Linked DNA regions of Drosophila melanogaster. The protein of the gene in region 3 purifies or fractionates together with the protein of the main gene of each other region. This does not show direct contact. Each region holds a gene or a part of one and is shown on either strand. Other genes may lie near its edges.

What was found.
Region 1: the proteins of CG3687 (region 3) and CG6013 purify together in Drosophila melanogaster (affinity purification with mass spectrometry, with the first as the bait; one large-scale study listed by BioGRID). This does not show direct contact.
Region 2: the proteins of CG3687 (region 3) and Gagr purify together in Drosophila melanogaster (affinity purification with mass spectrometry, with the first as the bait; one large-scale study listed by BioGRID). This does not show direct contact.

Annotation. Positions count from the first base shown.
Region 1 is NT_033777.3:19,029,681-19,032,972, reverse strand, and holds CG6013 (uncharacterized protein), read right to left. Parts: upstream 1,471-3,292; 5' UTR 1,403-1,470; coding exon 948-1,402; intron 885-947; coding exon 698-884; 3' UTR 564-697; downstream 1-563. Other genes in the region: Prp18, read left to right, coding at 1,780-2,802; P5cr (pyrroline 5-carboyxlate reductase), read right to left, coding at 2,901-2,964, 3,026-3,292.
Region 2 is NT_037436.4:16,392,778-16,397,443, forward strand, and holds Gagr (Gag-related), read left to right. Parts: upstream 1-1,808; 5' UTR 1,809-2,172; coding exon 2,173-3,231; 3' UTR 3,232-4,103; downstream 4,104-4,666. Other genes in the region: CG44836 (uncharacterized protein), read right to left, coding at 4,166-4,666.
Region 3 is NT_033778.4:16,235,002-16,237,987, forward strand, and holds CG3687 (uncharacterized protein), read left to right. Parts: upstream 1-1,713; 5' UTR 1,714-1,854; coding exon 1,855-2,030; intron 2,031-2,087; coding exon 2,088-2,343; 3' UTR 2,344-2,478; downstream 2,479-2,986.

The sequences.
Region 1 (3,292 bases), on a different chromosome or scaffold from region 3:
CCAAAAAACGCCACCAAACTTCCAAGCAGCAAGTAGTGAAAGCGGAAGCACTTATTATTCTCCGTATTTTGCACCACTAAAAAAAAAGTGATGGACAAAACGCTGGAACGACAACAGCAATCAAAGCAATACATATAATTACTTCATTCAGAAACGCAACCGGAATCGGATTCAGGGCCACAAAGTTTTTCAGCCGGTGGCAAATAAAAATTCGGCATTCAATAAGCGGAGAAAAGCTGTCCGTTATCACTTTCGGATCTGAGTTATCCAATCCTATGTTTATTCGCCCGATTTTCTATAATTTTATTGACTCTTGCATAATTAAATATTTCTTTTGTAAGAGCGAAATTATTACAACCAAATTGTGTACAATATAGAAAAATATGTGTTGAATTTGTATCCAGTTCTTATAATAAGTACCTATATAGCAAGATTTTATTCTAATATGAATATGTTAATCTTATTATTGTTTTTTGTCTTTCGTATCCTTTTGCATGGGATGCTTTATGAAGGATAATAGCTAACCACTTTTGCAATTAACACAAATTCAACTCACTGGGCTTAAATAAATAAATAAATTTATTCCGTCCACTTTTTTTTTTATATACTACATTCTGCGTACAGTTCAAAGGTGCTACAGAACGTTTTGATTATTTCTTTGCTGCTAGGCAGCAAACAGTCTTGGTCCTTGGATCACTTAGCGCGCCTGGTTGAATGGGTTGTCTGGTGACTTGTTCCATTCCTTCATCAGAAGCTGCTTCCACTGGGACATGCGAAGGGAAGGATTCTCAGCCTTAATGCGGGGCAGATTGTTGGCTTCAAAGGTCTTGTAGGCGGCGCGCATTCGCTTCTCGGGATGCTTGTCCTCTTCGCTGTCATTTACACTAAAATTGCATGCAATGGAAGATAATTTAAATTGATAAGAAAGTTTCAGTAAGGGAACGCACCTGAGCACCACGATGGCCTCGTCAATGTTGGATGCCACATCCGTGTCGGCCATGGATCGGTTCAGATTCTCCTCGATATGGTTTTGGACCACCACTCGCGCGGCCATCGGCTTGTTGGCCTCGTTTATCGCCTCGATTACGCGCTGCTTCTTCTCCATCTCCTCGAGAATCATCTGGCGGTTGATCTTGGCCAGCGGCTGCTTTCGCTGCGTGTTAATGGATGACATTTCCTGGTCAAGCAGCGCTTTGGCCTCAGCCTTCCGTTTGGCCGCCTCCGCCCGCTTGCGCTCCTCCTCGTCCTTGCGCTGTTGTTTCTTGGCCAGATTCTTGTCGTCATCGCGCCACAGGCGATCCTCCGCCTCCTTGCTCTTCTTCTCCTGCGTGGCCTTCTTGGTGGCCTCCTTGCGCTCGCGGGCCTCCACCGCCTTCGAGTTGATTCCCATTTTCTTTGGCATTGTGTCCTTTATGAATGAATTCCGATCCTAAAATGTTGTCTATTTTTTATTGATTTTGAGCCAGTGTGACCAGGCTGCGGAAATACCAAAGAGTAACCAAAGAAAAAATACTAGAAAAATATATAGCTCAAATACAATTTAAATGTCTAATAAATGCATTTAAATTAAATAAATTAGGAAGTACATATTTATCTAATTATTGATTAAAGTTATAGAACTAATTATAAGTTATTTCATAACTAAAACTTAGTAAATTCAATAGAATACCTATTTTAGTGGCCGCACTTGTATGTAAACATTCTCAGTCTGGTCTCACTATAATCTAAGGCATTTGTTTTGGTTACTCCACATTGTTATTAACTACAAATAACAATCACATGGATATTCTGAAAGCTGAAATAGCGCGAAAGCGCAAGCTGCTGGAGCAAAGGCAGCTGGTGGACGAAAAGAAGAAGTACTTCAGACGCGGTGACCTGAACGCCAAGAACACAGAGGAAGTGCTGCAGAAGGTGGGCTACATAAAGCAGGAGTCCGTCGAGGCACAAGGACAAACGACCGAAGGCGCGTACAGTTTTGTGGCCGATGGCCAGAACATATTGCCGCGCACGGAGGTCATTCGGAGGCTAAGGGAACGCGGCGAACCCATCCTTATATTTGGCGAGACGGAGCCCGAGGCCTTTGACCGATTGCGACAATGCGAGATTTCGCAGCCAGAGGCAAATCGCGGTTTCCGCAACGATTTCCAGGAGGCCATGGAGCAGGTGGACGCCGCCTACCTGCAGGAGATGTTCGCCAACACACCCACCACCAAGGAAGACAAGAAGTCGGACTTCGCTGAGCTCGACGAGTCCGTGTCGTGGGAGAGCATACAGACAATGGCTGCAAATATGGGCCGCAACAAGGACTACGACATGGATGTGATCATCACGCTGCTCACCTTCCTGCTCAAGCTGTGGAACGACCAGATCGCCAACTACAGCAAGCACGAAAAGATGTCCACAAAGGTGAAAATGACCCGCGTCATTTACACGCAGACTAAGGAATACGTTAAGCCGCTGTTTCGCAAGTTAAAGCATCACACCCTGCCAGAGGACATTCTGGACAGTCTGCGAGACATCTGCAAGCACCTGCTCAACCGCAACTATATCACAGCAAGCGATGCCTACCTAGAAATGGCCATCGGAAACGCGCCTTGGCCCATTGGTGTCACTATGGTGGGTATCCACGCTCGTACGGGTCGCGAAAAGATTTTCTCCAAAAACGTAGCCCACGTAATGAACGATGAAACACAACGGAAGTACATCCAGGGTCTCAAACGACTGATGACCAAGTGCCAAGAGTACTTTCCCACCGATCCCTCCAAGTGCGTGGAGTACGTCAGCAAGAAGGATCGGGAATAAACTTGAGCTTTATGTTAGTCATTATTGTAATAACAATATCAAGCGTTTAACTATATGTATGTGTAGAGAGCAAGGGGATGTTCCGGGGGATTACATTTTCACTTCTTTCCCAGTTCAGCAGAGCGCTGTGACGACTTTTCCACGGCGTTTATTAAAGTAGACCTGAAAGCACGAAAGAAAGCAATAAAAAAACAGTGTAATGTACAACTTTATGGCTACCCACCTGAGGTTCCCCTTTTCCAGTTCATGAACGCCTACTATGGTGGCGCCACCGGGAGAACAGACTTCATCCCGCAGCACCGCCGGATGTTTTCCAGTGAGCAGCACCGTTTTGGCCGCTCCCAGAAGCGTCTGAGCCGCAAACTGAAGAGCCATCTGACGCGGAACGCCCTGTTTGACGCCGCCATCGGCCAGTGCCTCTATGATGGTGTAAACAAATGCCGGACCGCATCCAGCTACCCCGGTAACGGCGTCGATCATGGACTCGGGC
Region 2 (4,666 bases), on a different chromosome or scaffold from region 3:
GCCGACAAGTTTTTGCTATTATTAAACAGTTTTACAAGCCGCTAACGCTCAGAAATTGTTGCTAATTAGCCGAACCGCGCACGCCGGCGCAGCAGACCTTAAAAGCGACCCCTCGAGGGGAAGAGAGGGGGGGTGATGGTGGTGGAGGGTTAGGAGTGGGCTGCCACTAATAAAGGTGTGCGCTGGTATGAGCAGCGGTGCACTGCGAGAAATGATCCACTACATTGCACTTCTATTCAAATCACTTTCTAATCTTGTACCGTTAACGTCAATAGCAGAAAGTTTACTTTAATAATTAATAATATTGTTTGAATTTTAAATAAAAATGAAAAAAAAACAATTTTTATTTGTGAAAGTTGAAGTTTTTGACCTTAAAATGGTTACATAGACGTAAAAATTATGTATTAGTACTAAAGTGAAGAAATCGCTAAGCACTATGTTATCAAAAATAAAACTTAGAATCTCATAACAATTATCATTCTTTATCATTCCAAATGTTGAAAATTAAACATAAAGCTAGAATATCAAGTGAAACCTATTAATTACACTCATTTTCTCTCAGTGCACGTGTCAAGATTGGAGGCAATCGAGCTGAATTAGATGCTGCTGGGGTCGATTGAGTGCAGATCAGGCGATGAGCAATCGAGTGCAGGGTGCAGCAAGCAGCGAGCAACAATTAGATTCTTCGAAAAAATCTAAAAAATTATGAAAGGACCTTGGAATGCAATTTTGCTGTGTGCCACAATTTGCATGTGAATAATGGCAAAAATCACATCTCTCGCTGTCAATCGGTGCGTATGCGTAATATTTGTGTGCGCCGCACAGTCTGTCAGTTTGAAATTATGTTGTCCTAGCGTAGACTTTCCCCATTTGCTTATTTATTTATTTATTTATTTATTTTTTGTTAGCCATTTGAACCCCGACAATTAACACGGCGAGCAGCGACGAGGCAAACAAAAAGCGAATCTAACGCTTCGTTTAAGCGATTTGTGTGCGCTCTTTAATGAAATTCGCTGCTGTGTTTGATGTTGTATTAGGGGTACGAGTAACGACTATGTGCGTGCTACGGCCTTTTTGTGGCCCGTGTCCGTTCGGCTGGCACTATCGCCATCTCTATCTGCCCGGCTATACATACATATATCTATCGCGATCGGTCGCAGGGTGTCGCCGTGCTGGGATTTTGTGGCTATGACTCAGCGTCGCAACAACAGTAAGCAAATAGCGTTTGGGGGAAGTTGGTGTCACGTCTATGAGATACCCATTGAATCTATTAAATTCACTATCTATTTTATGTCATCTATTAAAGTTACTATTTAGCAGTTCAACTAGGTCGCTTTAGGTCGCGATTTTTCTCTTTATAAATTTCTACATATAATCACATTAGTTTTGATTCACTTTAAATGTAAGCTTAAAGCGGAATTTAGCTGAAAAGAAAAATCGAGTTCTTCACTACCATACGATTATCAGGACTTCCGGCATTGTTCACCCAAATGTATGCTACAAAAAATATCGTTCCCTTTTGAAGGCAACAAGGAAACTCTATAAGAACTCCCATACTTCTAAGAAGAAAGTAATATTAAGGAGATATCTTGTATGTAAGACCCATAGAGTGAAGTAGGGAGTAGGGAAGCATGCGTATGTCCTACTTATTTTCCCAGAATCCTCGATTGATATCACTGTGACTACCCATTGTGCGAACCATACCACCTGGATGGTCTAGTATACCCGTTGCACTCCACACACAACGGGTACCACAACTCCCACCACAATGAATGGCGGGCGCTGTGTTCCGTTCTGTTTTATTCTGCCAGTTGATTTCGGTTCGGGTTCGGATCCGCTCATTCAGTTCAGTTGTGCTCAGCTCGGTTGGAGCGACCACGGTTCGTGTCGATTGCGAATCCGTTGCCATTGTCGGATTGGATCGCGGAGAGGGTCTTGCAAGTAAAATTCATGTTAATGAATGTTAATTTATACATTTGTAAGAATCTAAAATCTGTTTTTCCATACACAACAATTATTGACGCGGCAGTCGCTGCTTGGCGGCGATTTCGAATTTTGAAGCAGTCGCGCCCGAAACGTCGCCGCGAACGCAACGATCGGTTAACGGTAAAGATATAGAAGGCCACCCTCTTTGGAACTAGTAATAGTAGTCCTACGGGAGATTAGTCCAGAATGGATCCCGAGTTCGTGAACAAATACAATCAGGTCCTTAGCCGTCTGAAGCTAGTGGAGAACTTCGATGGCAGTGATCCTGGCAAGCTGCCGCAGTTCCTGCACAAAATCGAGGCCCTTATGCCGGCCATAAATAGTTTCGACGACTACTACAAGTTTCAATTGATAGGACATATCAAAAATAAGTGCACAGATCGCGCCAGGGAGGCGGTCTTCACGCGACAAATGAGCGCTCCCGTGGGCAATGGCAATGGCAATGGCGGCGGGAATGGTCATCTCCTGAAGGCCGAGTCCTGGCTAAAACTCAAGGATCAACTGCTGTACAACTATGCGGAGCGGGAGTCTAGCTACTCGCTGATACACAAGATACGCAGCGCTGTCTTGGACTCGAACATAGAGTTGTACTACCAGAAGATGGCCAAACTCAAGCACAGACTGATCAATAGAAAGCTCACGCACAATGACACCCTGTACAGTCTCGAGGACATAGAGCGCATCACGCTGCAGGTGTTCCGAGATCATCTGCCCGAGCCGACGCACTCGATGATCCTGCGCCGGAATCCCAAGAGCATGGAGGAGGCCTATCGCTACATAGTGGAGGTGCAGCAGCAGTTCTACACACAGAGCGGATCTCTGGCCAGTGACCATCAGGCGGCCACCTTCAGCACCAGCCACAAGCAGCAGTCCTACGGCGTGGGAATGGGCGGAGTGGGCGTGAGCACCGTTGGCGTGGGCGTCGGAATGGGCATGGGCGCTGTGGGGTTGGGACTCTCCTCCTACGTTCGTCAAATGTCCAACGACAAGGGACAGCAGAATAGCACGAAGAGCTACTACAATCAGTCGGCTCCGCCGGTGGGCGCCGGCAAGAATCATCCGATGTTCAAGAGCATTGGCAACCCCACCTTTAAGTCCAGCTTCAGCTACAATGGCACCAGCAGCAATTCGGGCATGGGATCGAATTACTCGAGTACCAAGAAGTCGGACATCAAGCAGAACTACCAGCAGCAGAAGAGTCAGAACTACTCGAAGACCTCGTCGGCTAGTGCTTGGAAGAAGTAGTAGTTGACATGGCTAGACGATCTCACCCTCCAATCGATCGGCGGTCCAGTGAGATAAGCGTATCGAGCATGACCTAATCCCTTGGAGCCTGTGACTAAGCCAGGGCAAAGTGATTGCCACCTCATGCTAATTACCCCGATACCTCACCCTCTAATGGCGATGAGGTGGCCGAAGATTATAGGATGTGAATATAGATTAAATTGTGATGAGAGAGCCATACTGGGTGCAACGAGATGGAGGTGATCTGATCCCTGTTTCGCGATAATCATAACCAATCCCTATCAGTACAACTAAGACGATAATGATGTGAATGTTCAAATAAAACAAATAATACAAATGTTAATGTTATAACTAACAATGCGGCAATTTAAATACCTCCATGGATTAAGCGTACTAGATTGCACATGCAAATAAAAAAAAAAAAACAAAACCATGTGAATGAATACAGATGAAGATAATGCAAATAGAAAGTAAGGGCATTGCAATAATAGAAAGTGTGTGCATAGCTATGTACTATCAAGTAAAAATTAAAATAACTAAAAGTATAGAATCACTAATTCGAGCTGATAGCAATGATCTTGTCGAAATACAAGATAATTAAGCCGATCGAGATAATTGAATGCATGATGTTCGATCTTCGGTAATGATGACATCGATCGCGTGTCCATCGATGATGATCAATCCGCAGACAGTATCGACATGTTAATTATTAGCTCATAAGACCCGAGTGTACATAGCCCCACACCTCAGTCCCCAGTCACATTACCCCCTATATATGTATCTACCGCCAATCGCCTATTTTTTAACAACAATCGCCCACCTTCAAATTCTGTTTTTTTTTTTGTTAACAATAAAGTGTAAAGTCTAACAGCCCTAGTGTATCTCTGTTTTGGTCGGTCAGAGGTATCGAATTTGGCATAGTTTGTTTACTCACAATTTGCTGGGCACTTGAAGTGTGGGCGGAACCCCTCGGATCATAGCCCATGTCCTGGGGCGCTGGCTCCGATTGCTGCTCCTGCAGCTTCACAGTCTTCGGTCTCGACCGCTCCTTGACATCCTTTTCGGGCTTACCAAAGAGTCCTCTCTGCTCCGCCCGGCGAATCAGGTACTTTTCATTCAAATGTGTCAGGGTTTTGCGGCGCACCAAGGCCAAGTAACTGCCCGTAACCTGCTGTTTGATGCAATTATCCTGATTTATGCATATATCCGGCACGGTATCCTGCACGAACTCATCGATATCGGGTGTTACAATCAGATCAATGCTTTCCACACGCGGCAGTGGAGTAGCTGTACAGCCCGGAGGTCCAGGTGCTGGAGGTTCCGGCTGCGCCGAGGGTTTATCCTTCTTCCTGGGCGAATCCTTGCTCATTGCAGCTGCCGGAATGTTGGCTGCCTCCGCTTCAGCTATCGCCTCGAGACGCTTCTGCTCCTTGTA
Region 3 (2,986 bases):
AAGCTAGCTACTGGCGAGGCGACCACCTGCCTGCCGTGGTAATTATAGGTTCTTGTCACACAAACTCCCCCACGTACACACACACACACACACATACACCCGCTTTGGGGCTAATTCTAAGCCAGCCACAACCCTCCATCGCCGGCTGATTCAACCAATCACGCAATGTTGACGGTAATTATTCGTCAAATACATGACACTTGGCCGGGGCCGCATGGCATTTATTTGTGCTGCCCGGTTACAAGGACTTCATATAACTGGTTAGCCAGATTACATGCCCCCAGCCCAGTCCAGTCCACCTCTCCCCGCTCGCCGATCACTTCTTGGCCCTTGGAGTTGACCAACTGTTATGTGTTGGGGCGGAGATAGTAAGGCTTACCCATTGTCCATGCGCTGACCAATGAGAGTGACCCTTGGCTATCGACCGGCATTTTGTGGACGAATATAACAGCGATAACAGCGGTAATAGTCTGAAAGAGGCGTGGTGGAAGCCTACTTGCACTCACTGAAAGTTATCCTTTAGGATATCTTACTATATAGCAAAACATGGGGTAATGTAAAATGTAAATCATGAATATGCAATTTTTAGTCATTACATTAAAATGAAGCCATCTTATTTGAACCATTATACAATAGATATACTTTTTTTGATCCTTAAACTGATAGTTCTTGTAGATTCCTATCACTCCAAATCATTTTATCAGATATTCTAGGCATAATATATCTTCAATTGCTCTATGTGAACTTTTTATTTCCGAGGTTTTTTGAGACTTAAAGGATTTTTCCAGCGTGTACCAATCGATTTCAATAGTCCTAAGAGGAATAGCTTCTGCTCCTTTTTAGCTGAGCTCCAAAAACTGCAGCGTCAGAAAGTTGCAATATGCCTAATCCGCTATTATTAAGACATCAAAAAGTTGTTACCAACTTTATTTTGATCAAGCATGATTCTTCAAAATCGTAAAATTTTACTTGCCTTCCGACAATGCCACTCACGACATCCAAGACCACCGTATGCATATCCAACAACCATCGACATGTAAATGAACTCCGTGTGTCGTCTTTAACCCGTTCCGTTTCGTTTCGGTTTGAGAAAGTGTCACCTGTTTGTTTGCCGGGGTGGTAAATTGGCAGTTTGGGTCACGGAGTCCTTGCCGTCTCCGGCAACCGGAAGTCGCATCCTTATGGCGTTTCATAATGTATGCGCTAATTTATTATCTGTTGGCAAAAGTTTGGGCCATACATAGTTAACCCTTTGACTGTCATGCCACCGATGTTTCGTTTATGGTGTTTTGGCCCAACTGAGAGCCGAACCCGGAAATAATGGATTGCGTGCCGGAGTGACATGTCTGGAGAATTGGAGGCAGTCTAATATCCATCAAAGGGTCGAGCGAGATGGATTCGAAATGCACACATATAGAAAGCAGTACGTTTTGGAATCGGTTTGAATTGGTTGGCATTACCAAACCACCAAACTTCTACTCTACGGACTGAGTTCGATTTTTTTTTACCCACCCCGGGGACCCATTGCTAATGCATTGGGAGGATCGTTTTGGACATAGGCTATTAATGCGTTAGACAAATTACCGGGTAATCTAGACAGTAGAACACGTTATTGCTTCGTTGTTTGTTTGGTCAGTAATTGAAGAGCAAACCTCGTGGACTTCGCGGTGGACAAACCGTTAATGACACCTTTAATTGGATGACATTAGCACCCGGGGGTCTGGGGCATGACCAAGTGGGCCCTGCCCCCATCCTACAGTCAAAGCATAGGCTTCGCTTAGCCTGTCTCTCGGAATAGTATTCATCTAACAAGTATTCATCGAACAAGGAAATCGTATTTTTATAAGCAACGAAATGTGTGACGAAGGATCGATCAGGGAATGTGAGCCCACCACCTTGCGGCTTCCTTTCAACAGCTACCACATCAATTTGCCGCTATATATTTTGGACATGGTGCGCATCTTCCAGGATCATCCCAAGTACAGCAATGGTATCCACGAGGAGCACATTCTGGAGATGCTGGAAAAGGAGTAAGACAGATCGAGTAATATACTTAATGGTAATGGTAATGCTAATCATCTAAATAGACCCTTTGCCTGTGGCGATCTGGAGTCGCAGGTGAAGACCGCTCTGCTGGACCTAACGGCCAAGGGATTCATACGCTTCATTACCAATGGATACCGCACCCTGGGACCCATTGCCAAACTCTCCAATGCCCGTTCCGCGCGCCACTTCAACATGACATGGCAGCGCATTGCCGAGCTGCAGAAGGTCAACTGTCCGAGCCTGGAGGCGGGATCCATCTCCAGCGGACCCTGCATCCAGCGCGGAGCCAACTACTAAATGATTTCACTTTTTGTTGTGTTAACCATTTCGTTTATTGAGTTCATTTCCTTGCAGATCAGCAGAGTAACGCGCCACACACACTCTCCACACTTCTTCCAAATTGTAATCGTCTAGTAAAATTCCTACAAATCCAAGTTTCGGGGTAGTTAGTTGAGTACGGGTGGTCATAATCATCATTATGTTGGGAACACATGTCGCGGGGTCTGCCATCCTTTTGACACTTAACCAGGCTAATTATTCTCAGGGGTTGGAATGTCGCAGGTGTTTATAGGGGAAATGCTTCCGAAACTGATTTAAGTATTACCATTGTGAATAGGCCAACTATCCCTGTTTGTGATCTGGAGTACATCCCCGACGAACTGTGCCCCAATGTGACCCTTGGCCAGGCCCATTACCCTTTTGGCCGAACCGTTTAGATTGTCAACACCAGGACAGCGGAGGACACAAGGAGGACCTGTCGTCATCGCAGTCCGAATATGTGCCCGCGAACCAAACACGCATGGGATCCCGGCCAGGTGGTATTTATTGCCTCTCTAATCGTTGCGGCATAATCTATTAGCACCCCACCCGACAGACAGATCCGCGCTTCCACGTCCAAAACGGTGTCCCTTGATTTTTTGCTTTTGCACATTAAAGGCAA